Linked DNA regions of Alligator mississippiensis. The protein of the gene in region 1 interacts with the protein of each later gene in a pairwise test. Links are inferred from orthologs where the notes say so. Each region holds a gene or a part of one and is shown in the gene's direction. Other genes may lie near its edges.

Evidence for each region. The genes of interacting proteins can lie anywhere in the genome.
Region 2: the proteins of CBY2 (region 1) and FAM161A interact in binary tests that used the Homo sapiens proteins (3 or more experiments, as listed by UniProt). The two-hybrid records come from large-scale screens. The link is inferred for Alligator mississippiensis from reciprocal best matches to the Homo sapiens genes CBY2 and FAM161A.
Region 3: the proteins of CBY2 (region 1) and MMAB interact in binary tests that used the Homo sapiens proteins (3 or more experiments, as listed by UniProt). The two-hybrid records come from large-scale screens. The link is inferred for Alligator mississippiensis from reciprocal best matches to the Homo sapiens genes CBY2 and MMAB.

What each region holds. Positions count from the first base shown.
Region 1 is NC_081824.1:411,420,723-411,424,473, forward strand, and holds the start of CBY2 (protein chibby homolog 2), read left to right. Parts: upstream 1-1,520; 5' UTR 1,521-1,692; intron 1,693-3,751.
Region 2 is NC_081824.1:212,487,079-212,490,829, reverse strand, and holds the start of FAM161A (protein FAM161A), read left to right. Parts: upstream 1-817; 5' UTR 818-862; coding exon 863-988; intron 989-3,751. UniProt on the Homo sapiens protein: Involved in ciliogenesis.
Region 3 is NC_081833.1:5,119,240-5,122,990, reverse strand, and holds the start of MMAB (corrinoid adenosyltransferase MMAB), read left to right. Parts: upstream 1-1,328; 5' UTR 1,329-1,343; coding exon 1,344-1,494; intron 1,495-3,589; coding exon 3,590-3,683; intron 3,684-3,751. Other genes in the region: MVK (mevalonate kinase), read right to left, coding at 852-999, 1,085-1,162. UniProt on the Homo sapiens protein: Converts cob(I)alamin to adenosylcobalamin (adenosylcob(III)alamin), a coenzyme for methylmalonyl-CoA mutase, therefore participates in the final step of the vitamin B12 conversion.

The sequences.
Region 1 (3,751 bases):
ATTTGCCTACACCTATTCACCAAGTTCTACCTGAATTTGAAGAGTTTTGGAACTTCTAAAATTGCATTTTTCCAGCAAAGAGATGATTTGCTGAAAAAATTCACCCAACTCTAAGGAAAACAGTACACAGAAATATTAAGAAAAAGCAAAACATGCAACAAATATACATTAATCCTTGTTGTAATTACTAATTCAGAAGAATCAGGCTTTCTTCTTTTGATCAGTACCCATTACTGGGCCATTCTTGTTTTCATTAACTGATCTCTTAAACATTTCAGCTGAGATCTGCTTTAGTAGGTCCCATGTTCTTGGTTCTCCAGCAGTTCAGGATCACCCATTTCAACCATCACCTTCCCTAAGGTGACCTGCTATCATTTAGCACACTTTAGCTCCCTTCTCTCAAAGGCCAAACACAAACTCCATGCAAGGAGCTATTTCCCCACTCTCTATTGTAGAATACTTGAAAATAAACATAATGCTCCCTGGAGAGTTGCCATAGTGATTTGTGATGCTGTTGTGTTGTCTGAGATTAAATAGAAGTCAGAAGGGAAAAAAATTACAGTGACAATTTCTATACCTAAGTTTATCGTCTTTGTATAACTCAAAAATAGCTGAAGTGATTTACCTCCAGGTGATTTACCTCTAAAACAATAACAATCACCTGGAGGCTGCTGCAAACTTGGTAGTTTTCATCTGAAAAGAAAGTAACTGTTATGTTTGTTACTCTGGCACACTAATTAGATAGCATTTTATTCTGCCTTTAAAGATGTAGCATATAACATAAAATCAAATAATTAAAAATGTAAAGACGTGGAGGTGGATATAATATGGCATATAAGATAAAATCAGATAATAAAAAAAGAAGGCTCTGGAGGTGGACATAGTAGCTATAGATAATGACTGCAGGTGTGATGGATAGATGCTCTTGGCATTCTTTTAAATCAGATTTAATGCTATCCTCACTCTTTTAACTTGCAGTCAAAGAAAGACTCCAGCCGCCAAGTTTACGTTAGAAAATAATTCCACATCTCATACTGGATAGGAGGAAGTTATTTTGTCAACTTCAGCATCAGTTAAGCACTAAATCTAATTTGAATATCTTAGGTGGGAGAAATCATTATCTCGAAGGTTAGTGTTGAGAAAAGAATTTTTTTAACTGATTTCAAGATGTTATATGAGAATGGAAAACAGGAGGATGACTTGAGACAACTTGGCTTGAGAGAATTAAACTGCTGGACTTTTTATATGGAAAAATAAATCATTTTTGTTAAAAACACACGCAAGCATAAATCTGGAAAAATCAGAAATGATCTTCAGAAACTGTAGTGAGACCAGTTGAAAGTAAGACTGTAGCAGCAGAAAACTCAGAGACTTTGGATGCCGCCACAGCCTACCCAGGCTTAAGAGATGTTGCCTTTCACCCAAATCATTTGTAGTGTTACAGTATCCAAGCACAGCCAAGAGGTCTATGTCATAATGAGGATGACACGTTACTCTTTTATTGCATCCACTGGTTTGAAAACAATGGTCCTGTACATGGCCATGTTGAAAATCTAGTTTGAGGAGGGAAAGCTGAGGCAGCTTTTGGCATCTTGCCTCAACATTGATGTATCATAGTTGTAAAACCAATTGACTGTTTTGATAAGAAAAATAAAAGGAACAGGACATCACTGGACTCATATTTTCACTCAGGTAAGCAAATTTACACAGCATTATTGAAGAACATGATACAATTTGATCTTATATAAATTTGCCTACACAAACTCTACTTCCAAACTTCTTACAGGTTTAAAAGATATAGAAATAAATAAAAATGGTACGATAAGTTAAATGAAATAAAAGGTCTTCACAAAAGAAAAAAGATAGATGCAGTTCACTACAGCAAATAGCTTTGGTTTTGCCTTGATGAAAACCATGGGACTTAAACCTGGGAAAACCAGAGTAACACAGTGATCAATCAACTACTTGTTTAGTGAGATTTGAAAAGAGATGGAAATCAGTAAGATGGAGAGACACGAAAAGGATAGTTCAAATAACAGCAACTGTAGATGAGAAGGCTTCTGGTAAAGATAGTTAAATGAAGTCAGGTCTAGAAGAGCATGGAGGGGACAGTGGAAGGAAAGGGCAAAGATTGACATGGGAAGACTGAACAAATATATGGAGTTTTAAGAATGAAAGGGGCAATTTTGGATTTGACCTGGAGATAAATAGGGCCTTGAGGGAGGATAGCAGTGAGTTTGACTTAGATATTAAGGGCAGGGTGTTAGTCTGCCAACTTAAAATGAGCACATTTTCTTGATGCTGATAGAACTCTGTGGGATTTTCAAACCCCAGGGCCAACATTTTCAGACTTGGATGTTGAGGTTAGACTCATATATAGCCTTTAAATAGATACAGGCCAGATTTTCATATGCTTTGAGACACTGTCTAGGGCAACTGTCCTTACTTAGTCTCTTCCACTTATTACTGTATTTTGAGATGTGCTAGGAAAACTGTGGGGAGCTTCCTAGAGTTGGGGGTGGTGGGTCAGAAGTGTCCAGCCCTCTCAGGCAGAAGGGCTGGCAGAGAGCAAGGACCTTGTGGGTGAGAGCTTAGCTGTGTGATGAGGGCTGCAATGACCCTCTGGGGAAAGGGGTGGCAGGCTTTGAACATTATCTTGTATGGTAATAAACCATGTCCAGCAAGGGAGAGATATTGCGAGAACACTTTTTTGGCGTGGGATGAAAGGTAAGCTGAAGCAGGGGAAGTACTTAAGGCCAGACTGGGTGGGAGCCTGCTATAGTCCCACCTATAGTAAGAAAATCACGTTAAGCCACCAGCTGACACTGACTTGTGAACAAGCATGCAGTAGGAGACATAATTTGCTCCAAACAGGGATTTGTTAACAATTGCCTGAAAATGCAGAGGACTAGATTTGATGAGCCATGAGACACCTTCCCGTCGTATGTTCACAAGTGATTTACCATCAGATATGTAAAAAATTGTTTCAGGAAGAGGTGGATGGGTTAGGGAGGAGAGGTAGGTAAGGAGTGTTTCTAGAAATGGGCTGTTATGAAGAATTTGATGGGACATGTGTTTGGCATTTTCAAAAAAACACATGATAGAAGATGCAAAGAGAAGAGTGAGAGAAGAGGAGAATAGTGCAGTGACAATGCGGAATAGCAGGAAAAAATGAAAACAGGAGAGTATCACCATGTAAGAGAGTAGGAAGGAGAGTATGACAAGCTTCTAAATTACAATTACTCTTCCACTGCCAAAAGTGGTTGTGCTTAGGCATCTCATAGAAATATGAAGATTACGTTCCTGCTCACAATCTGAACTGACAGGACTGGATATAGTAAGAGACAGGGAATTAGAAGTGTGTGAGTAGAGCCAGGTGAAAGTTTACAGTCAAAACCTTCTTTGCTTGCAAGATTTCTTTGCAAGGCAGATTTGTTCTTTTTTTCCTTCAAAGGTTTAGTCTCTTCATGAATTTGTGTCATTAGCTTAATGATTTTGGTCAAAAAATGTGACAAAAACATGTTGTTTCACCATTGTCAATGTGTAATTCATAGATTCATAGATTCATAGATGTTAGGGTCGGAAGGGACCTCAATAGATCATCAAGTCCGACCCCCTGCATAAGCAGGAAAGAGTGTTGGGTCTAAATGACCCCAGCTAGATACTCGTCTAACCTCCTCCTGAAGACCCCCAGGGTAGGGGAGAGCACCACCTCCCTTGGGAGCCCGTTCCAGACCTTGGCCACTCGAAC
Region 2 (3,751 bases), about 200 Mb from region 1:
CAAAAGCATTGGAAGACTGCTCTCCCCTCCTTTCTGGAAGTGTCTTTTCTGCAACCTGCTGCATTTCTTTCAGCTTCAATCTTCACCTGAGTAACAGCTGAGGATTGAAGTCAGGGCTCAAGTCATAGATTGTAAGGGGCTGGAAGGGACCTCTGAAGATCACTGGGTCCAGCCCCCTGCATCAAGCCGGGAAGACATCTGGGGTCAGGTGACCCCAGCAAGGTGCCCTCCAGTCTCTTGAATATTTCCAGGGTGGGCAATCGCACCACCTCTGGAGGGAGCTTATTCCAGTGTGGAGACACTGACTGTGAAGAAATGTTTTCTAGTGTTGAGCCTGAAGTTTGTGTTTGTGACCATTACTCTTGGTTTTCCCCTCAGCTGCCCTGGAAGTCACCGAAGGGGAAGCTGGGGAGCTTATGGGGAATCTGAGGAGGCTGAGGCCCCCCCAGGAGACAAGAGCCCCCCCTGTAAGATTTGAAAAACATAACTTGGGGGCGGGGGTCTCCGATTGCACTAGGGCCGCGTGATGGGCAGCCCAATTTGTTTTACAGAACACCCCTCAGGAGTTAAAGCCTGATTGAAGCAACGGCTTAGGAACGAAACAATCGCAAACTCTAAGATCGGCCCCGCCGCACTTCTCAGTTCTTTTCAGCTGGAGAAAAGCCCCCAACCGCGGAGTGACCTGCCCGAGCCCGCTCTGCAGCCCACACTGGCGCCACCGCTCTGCTCAATGGGGAGGGTCACGTGACGCCGAGTGCCCCGCCCCCACGCAGGCGGGCCCCGGGGGGCAGGAGGAAGCCCGCCCCGCCCCGGGGGTTTGTCCCGGCGGCGCCGCCGTAGCGTCCCAGGCAACCGCGGCGCCATGGACGCGGCGCACCGAGCCGCGCTGCTGGTCGCTTCCTGCCTGCACACGCCCGTCAACGCGCGCACCCGCGCGCCGGCCGCGCTCTACGAGCGGCAGCAGGGCCCGGTCGCCGCCGAGGAGCAGGTACCGCCCCGCCCCCGCGGGGGCCGCTTTAACCGGCCACGTGCCGGGGCGGGGGTAGGGACCGGGCCTGCCAACCCGGGGGGCGGCGACCGGCACGGTTAAGGAAAGGTTGGGGGCGGGGGCAGCCTAGACTTGCAGCTCACAAGCCAAATCATTGCTGTTGCAGTACATATGGGCACACATATATACATGTATGTGTGTGTATTTATGTATACACGTCTGCACATGTCTTGTGCATGTGTACACGTGTGTGTGTGTGTGTGTGTGTGTGTGTGCAGGCATGTACACCCCCCCCAAAAAAAAAGAGAAGTCAGGCCAGGAAACGCCTCCAGAGGTCACCTAGTCCCACCCCCCCTACCCTGACACAGGATCATCCCTAACCAAACCGTCCTACACTATCCATAATCTTAGCCTTAACAGTAGCTAACATCCTGCTTATGGCCTTGTCCCCACTTCAGAGGAAGACAACCCCCCCCCCCCCCACCCCCCCAGCCTGTACCGATCTGTGCACGGGATACAATTTCTTCCTGGTCCCAAATACAGCAATTAGTTTGATCCTGCGCAGAGGGGCAACACCCACTAGCTAGGAATGTCTGGGTTTAAGTCTCAGCGGGAACACTGGCAGACCCAGTTGCAATCCCCACCTATGGCTGCAGCCAACACCCAATGCTTTTAAGGAAAACTTAAAAAATAAAGCCCTGGCATGCAGCAGAAACAGGGGGTGGGGAGGCCATAATTCCTTCCCATTCCCTTGCTGCAAGCAGCAAAGCCCAGAAGCATGGGAAATACCCATAGTACATAGGCTGTGCCTACATCATCTCCAACCAGGGCTGTCCAGCATCTTCTTGAACCCCTCCAGTGATGGAGAGTCCACAGCTTCCCTAGGCCGTCTATTCTACTGCCTCACTATTGTAATGATAAGAAGTTTTTCCTGATATCGAATCTAAACCATCTTTCCTACAACTTCAAGCCACTGGTCCACATCCTTCTCTCTGCAGCTACAGATAAAAAGTGTTCTCCCTCTTTTTTATGGCAGCTTTTCAAGAATTTGAAAACTGCTATCATGTTCCCCCTCAAGCGCCTTTTCCTTAAGCTGAACATAGAATCATAGAAAATTAGGGTTGGAAGGGACCTCAGGAGGTCAGCTAGTCCAACCCCTGCTCAAATAGGACCAGCCCCAACTAGATCACTCCAGGCAGGGCTTTGTCAAGCCAGGCCTTAGAAACCTCCAAGGATGGAGATTCCACCACCTCTCTAGGTAACGTGCACACGCACATATACACACATATATATGCGCACACATGCACAAATATACGTGCAGATAAATATATACCCATATACACACATGTATATACATGTATATGTAGCATAACCTTTCCTGAGCCCAAGTTCATTTCATCAGATCCTGTGAAAAGATGTGCAAAGCAGTGTATAAAACAGAGAAAATTATCTGAATACTTAAAAATGAAAGGTAGGAAGGGAGGGAGGGAGGGGAATAGAGAAATAGAGGAGAGGTCAGAGATGAATGTTACAACTGTCATTAAGCAGCAGCAAAGCTAGATAACTTTCCTGATAATCAGGGAAATCATGAGTACGAGAGAAAGGGAAGTGTGAAATGTGTGGTGGTGAAAAGCAAAGAAGACTTGGAAAAAACTGAGAGATTTCTGGGAAGTAGGACAAATTGTTGCTGCAGAGATACGGAATACGTTGGAAGCTCAGCTAAATGATCCTGGAGCCCAACACCTATTTTTCGGAAGAGCATTCATTGGGGGGCGGGCAGAAGGGGTAATATATAAAATATAATTTTATTAATTTCATTTTGTTTTAAGAAATCCTCATAATACAATGTGCTGGTCAAGAAAGGTATTTATATAGTTGGTGGTGTCCACCCAGTTTGTCACCGTGCTTAAAACAAGTGCCCTCAATGTTTCTATAGCTGCAGCAAGTGGCAAGGAGATCTTGTTCACAGTGTCTAAATTCCCTAGGCAAAACGCATCATTAGTAGCCCCATTCAGAGGAGCCCTATCCCAGAAACTCCCGAGAGACTGAATCAAGGGGTGGCCCCAAATTCACCTACGAAAGTACAGGTTAGCATGAATTTAGTTAATCTTGGCTAAGTTATGGGCATTGCTATGAGTTGGTGAATAACTTTTACATTTAGAATAAATACAGACTTTGAAAAGAGCATTTCTAAAATCTGAGTGACAAATAATGTAGTAGTACACATATACACACAGCATGCTGTCTTCCTAATTTAGAAAACAGATGGTAGTACTGCATCACTTGTGCCCTCACAAATCTCTTAATGAGCTTTCTACATGCAAGTGTCTGAAGAGTGGATTTAGTTTATGTCCAATTCAAGAGAAAAGACCAGGATCTTCCTATATGGATTTATTTATATATACAAGGTCAAAAGAAATGCAAGGAGGTGTATACCAAGATATATTAATTAGTTAAATTTGGTCTTTCATGGGTGCACTCTAATTGAGATCTGTTACTATTTCATGTCTTTGTGATCCTATAACTAGGTTCATGTTGTGCTATGCCCTCTCTACTGTATGAAACTTGACTTGAAGACTAATGGAGTGAAAACTTAACTATAAGTATATTCAAAACAATAATTTTCTGTTAGAATTTAGGAGTGCATTAAAAATACACAGCAGTTATGATAGAACTCTGAAGTTCTCTACAAAGCAAACTTTTATCCTAATATCATAGATTTAAAAAACCCCAAACAAATTAGTTATATCACCTTAAAATACA
Region 3 (3,751 bases), on another chromosome or scaffold:
ATCGTCCTCCCAGGCTGGCCAAGGAGACCGCGACGTGCATCCAGAGGGTGACCGGGCAGCAGCCTCCTTCCCACCCAGCTCTGGACCAAGCCGCCCCCTGACACCGTGGCCCCAATGCGCTTGCGGCTCCCAGGACCAGAGCCTTGCCCAGCAGTGGCGTGGAAGGAACCTCCCAAGGTCCAACCCCTGCGCGGGGCAGGACCATCCCCACCCAAACCAGCCTATACAAACCCAGTCTAACCTCTTAGCAAAACTACCGTCCACCCCGACACGGCACAAGACATCACCCCCCGCCTGCCACAGGGGAACCGCAGCGCCCTGCTTCGACGACGCGCTCAAGAGATCCCAGCACAGGCCGTGCCCCGCTGACAGAGGAAGGCGTTTGACCCCCCCGCTCCCCAATCCACGGGGTCAAATTCCTTCCTAACCCTCAGTGCAGCGTGAGCCCGACCACGATCGTGGCAGCGGGACCCTCTCGCCATTGGTGCGACGCCCCATTAGTGCCGACACCGACACAACCCCCCTCCCAGGGCCGCACCCCTCCCGCAGGGCCGGATCTCGGCTCGCTCGTCACCCCCTTCGAGAGACGCTCGCACGCTGCTCAGAGCATCGCCTGCCGCGGCTCCCACGCTCCACCCGCCGCGGGGAGCGAGGGCGCGTTGCGCAACACGGTTGCTCCAGCAAGGAGGTGACTGATCTCTATCACAAGCAGTCAGCAGGGCTGCTGCCAAGCAAACAGAATAGGGCCGGGTCGCGCACCTGGATACTGAAAAGGTCCCAAAATAGGTTTGAAAAAACCCCCTTCCATCCCCAAAAAAACCCTCTTCCCCCCCCCACCCCGGGGCGCTCACCTGGCAGGGCGGCGCGGAGGTCGCGGAGCGGCGCTGCCTCCCAGCCCAGGCGGACGCCGATGCTGGGCAGGGCCACGAGGACGCGGGCGTCGCGGCGCGGGCGGAGGCGCAGGAAGGTGCGCAGGTCCAGGGCCACGGCCACGGCCACCTGCGCACACACAGGGGTCAGGGGCGGGGGCGGGGCGGGGAGGGGTCGCGGGCGGGGGGCGGGGTCAAGGGTCGGGGGGCGGTACCTTGCCGTGCACCACGGCGTGCTCCCCGTGCAGGATGGCCTTGCCCGGCGCCGACACCACCAGCGCCTCGGGAGGCATGACCGCACTGACGCGGCTCGGCCGCCGTAGGGCTCCAGTGACGCGCCCCACCCCCCGGCTGCTCCCCGATAGGCCGCGCCGCCGCCCAATAGGGGCGCGGCGCCGGCCGCCCAGCCAATCCTGAGGAGGGAGCGGGGTCAGAGGGCAGCGCGACGGCGGCCGAGAGGGGTCGGCGGGTGTCATGGCGGCGGCGGCGCTGCGGCAGGGCTGGCGGCGGCTGGGCCCGGGGGCGCTGTGCCGCCGGGCGAGCGGGGCGCCCGTCCCGCCGGATGCCGGGGCGGAGCCGCCCGCCAGGCCCGCCCCGCGGGTCTACACCCGCACCGGGGACAAAGGTAGCGGCCCCGCGCGGGGCAGAGGGGCCGGAGAGGCTGGTGCATCCATAGGGTCTGCAGCACAGGGAACCGTGTGCAAGGCCGCGAGCGTGCGCGAGGCGTCCCGCAGTGGGGATGATGGAGGGGGGGGTGGAGATCATCTCTGGTGATTGAGCTGTGAGGGAGACAGCACGGGGGCTCTTGCGCTGGAGCCGGTCGAGAGCTCCCTGTGTACAGACGGGCTGACTGAGTCTCCAGCACACGAACCTCGCGTTCAGCATGTGTGGGGATGGACATCTCTACCCCTGGTCTGTCGAGATGAGATGCAGCACGAGGGTTCCCGCGCTGGAGGTGATCGATAAATGGACAGACAGATAAATCAGTGCAGGGAATCTGGTGCAGGGGAGCGAGAGGGAGCGTGCACACGGTCTCCTGCCCCTGTAGACGAGAGGAAGAGATGGACAGGTCTCATTTCCAGCGCACAGACCTTGTGTTCTGCCCTATGGAGAGCTACACCTCTGTCTAATCAGCGTAGAGATACGGAGCACAAGGTTTCCGGCTCTGCAGAAGACGGATAGCCATCATCTTCAGTGCAGCAACCCTTGTACGAGAGAGCGAGCGTGCAACAAGGTTTCTTGCACTGGAGATGATATAGATGTATCTACCTATAGACACTGATTTAATCCGTAGGTCCAAGGAGGTGATCGTCCCCCTCTATGTGACACTGGTCAGGCTGCAGCTGGAGTACTGCGTCCAGGTCTGGGCACCGCACTTCAGGAGGGATGTGGCCAGCGTGGAGAGGGGCCAGAGGAGGCCACCCGCACGATCAGGGGGCAGCAAGACAGGCCCTACGAGGAGAGGCGACGGGACCTGAACCTGTTCAGCCTCCACAAGAGAAGGCTGAGGGGGGACCTGGTGACCATCTATAAACTCACAAGAGAAGGGTTTGGGGGAGACCTTGTTTCCCCTAGCGCCCCCCGGGATAACAAGGAATAACAGCCACAAGTTGTTGGAGAGTAGGTTTAGATTAGGCGTCCATAAGAACTACTTCACAGTCAGGGCGGCTAGGATCGGGAACCAACTTCCAAGGGAAGTGGTGCTGGCTCCTACCCTGGGGGTCTTTCAGAAGCGCCTTGATGCCTACCTGGCTGGGGTCACTTGAGCCCAGTTTCCCTCCTGCCCAGGCAGGGGGTCGGACTTGAAGATCTCCAAGGTCCCTTCCGACCCGACTTCTATGATCTCCAGCACAGGACCCCTTGTACTCTGTATCTACAGGGATCTACATATCTATCCCCAATCTGTATATAGATACCTCCAGTACAGGAAACCTTGTGCAGAGAAGGAGAATCGTCTTCAGCACAGAAAACCTTGTGCAAGAGAGAGCATGCACGTGGTTTCTTGCCCTGGAGACAATAGATAGAGACTGATTTAAACTCTAGTGCAGGAAACCTTGTGTTCTTTACCTATAGAGATCTAAAGGTAGAGATTTATATGAATCTGTAGGCAGAGAGAGAACTCAAGGTTTCCTGAGCTGGAGATGATGGGTATTATATTTATTTATGCATGAGCTTTTGTGAACTAGAGCTCACTTGTATGGGACATGGTGAGAAGATGCACAGGAAGCAGAGTAAAAGAAGGGGAGAGAAGTTGGAACAGCAAAGACCGGGGGGTGGAGGGGGCGTGAGTAGGGCTGGAAGAGACTAGCAAACCTGTAGGAAAAAAGGACTCACTGAAACGAATCCAGGTACTGGGTGGGGGAGAATCCATCGTCCCTGTTTAAACCCTGCAGTGCAGTCCCTGGCCAATTGCTTGTTCTGCAGTGTCCCGTTCAAATCTGTTTTTAAAAGGCTGCCATCTGAGAACAGCCACCCTTGGGTCAGCGATGGAGGGTCTAGGGAGGTTCAAGTAGAAGAAGCATACCAGAGAAATACCAGTGCATTGGGTGCAGCACGTCTCTAAAGGACACAGAGGCAGAGACGTCCCCCTCCTGCATCTGTAACACAGACCTAAGATTGCCACTTCTGCAGGCCCCAGCTTAGTGCCACTGCAACGAGTTGTTCCAGTCATGGGCCTGTCTGTTCCAAACCCTTTTCATGTTTGTGGCTTGTTTTTAAAGGATTTTCCAGCACATTCACAGGTGAGAGGAGGTCAAAAGACGATCAAGTATTTGAAGCTTTGGGAACAACAGATGAATTGAGTTCAGCTATTGGGTAACAAAACCATAAATTTTCTGTTATTTGACCTTTGCTTGCCTCTGCATATTTTTTTTAAAACTGGG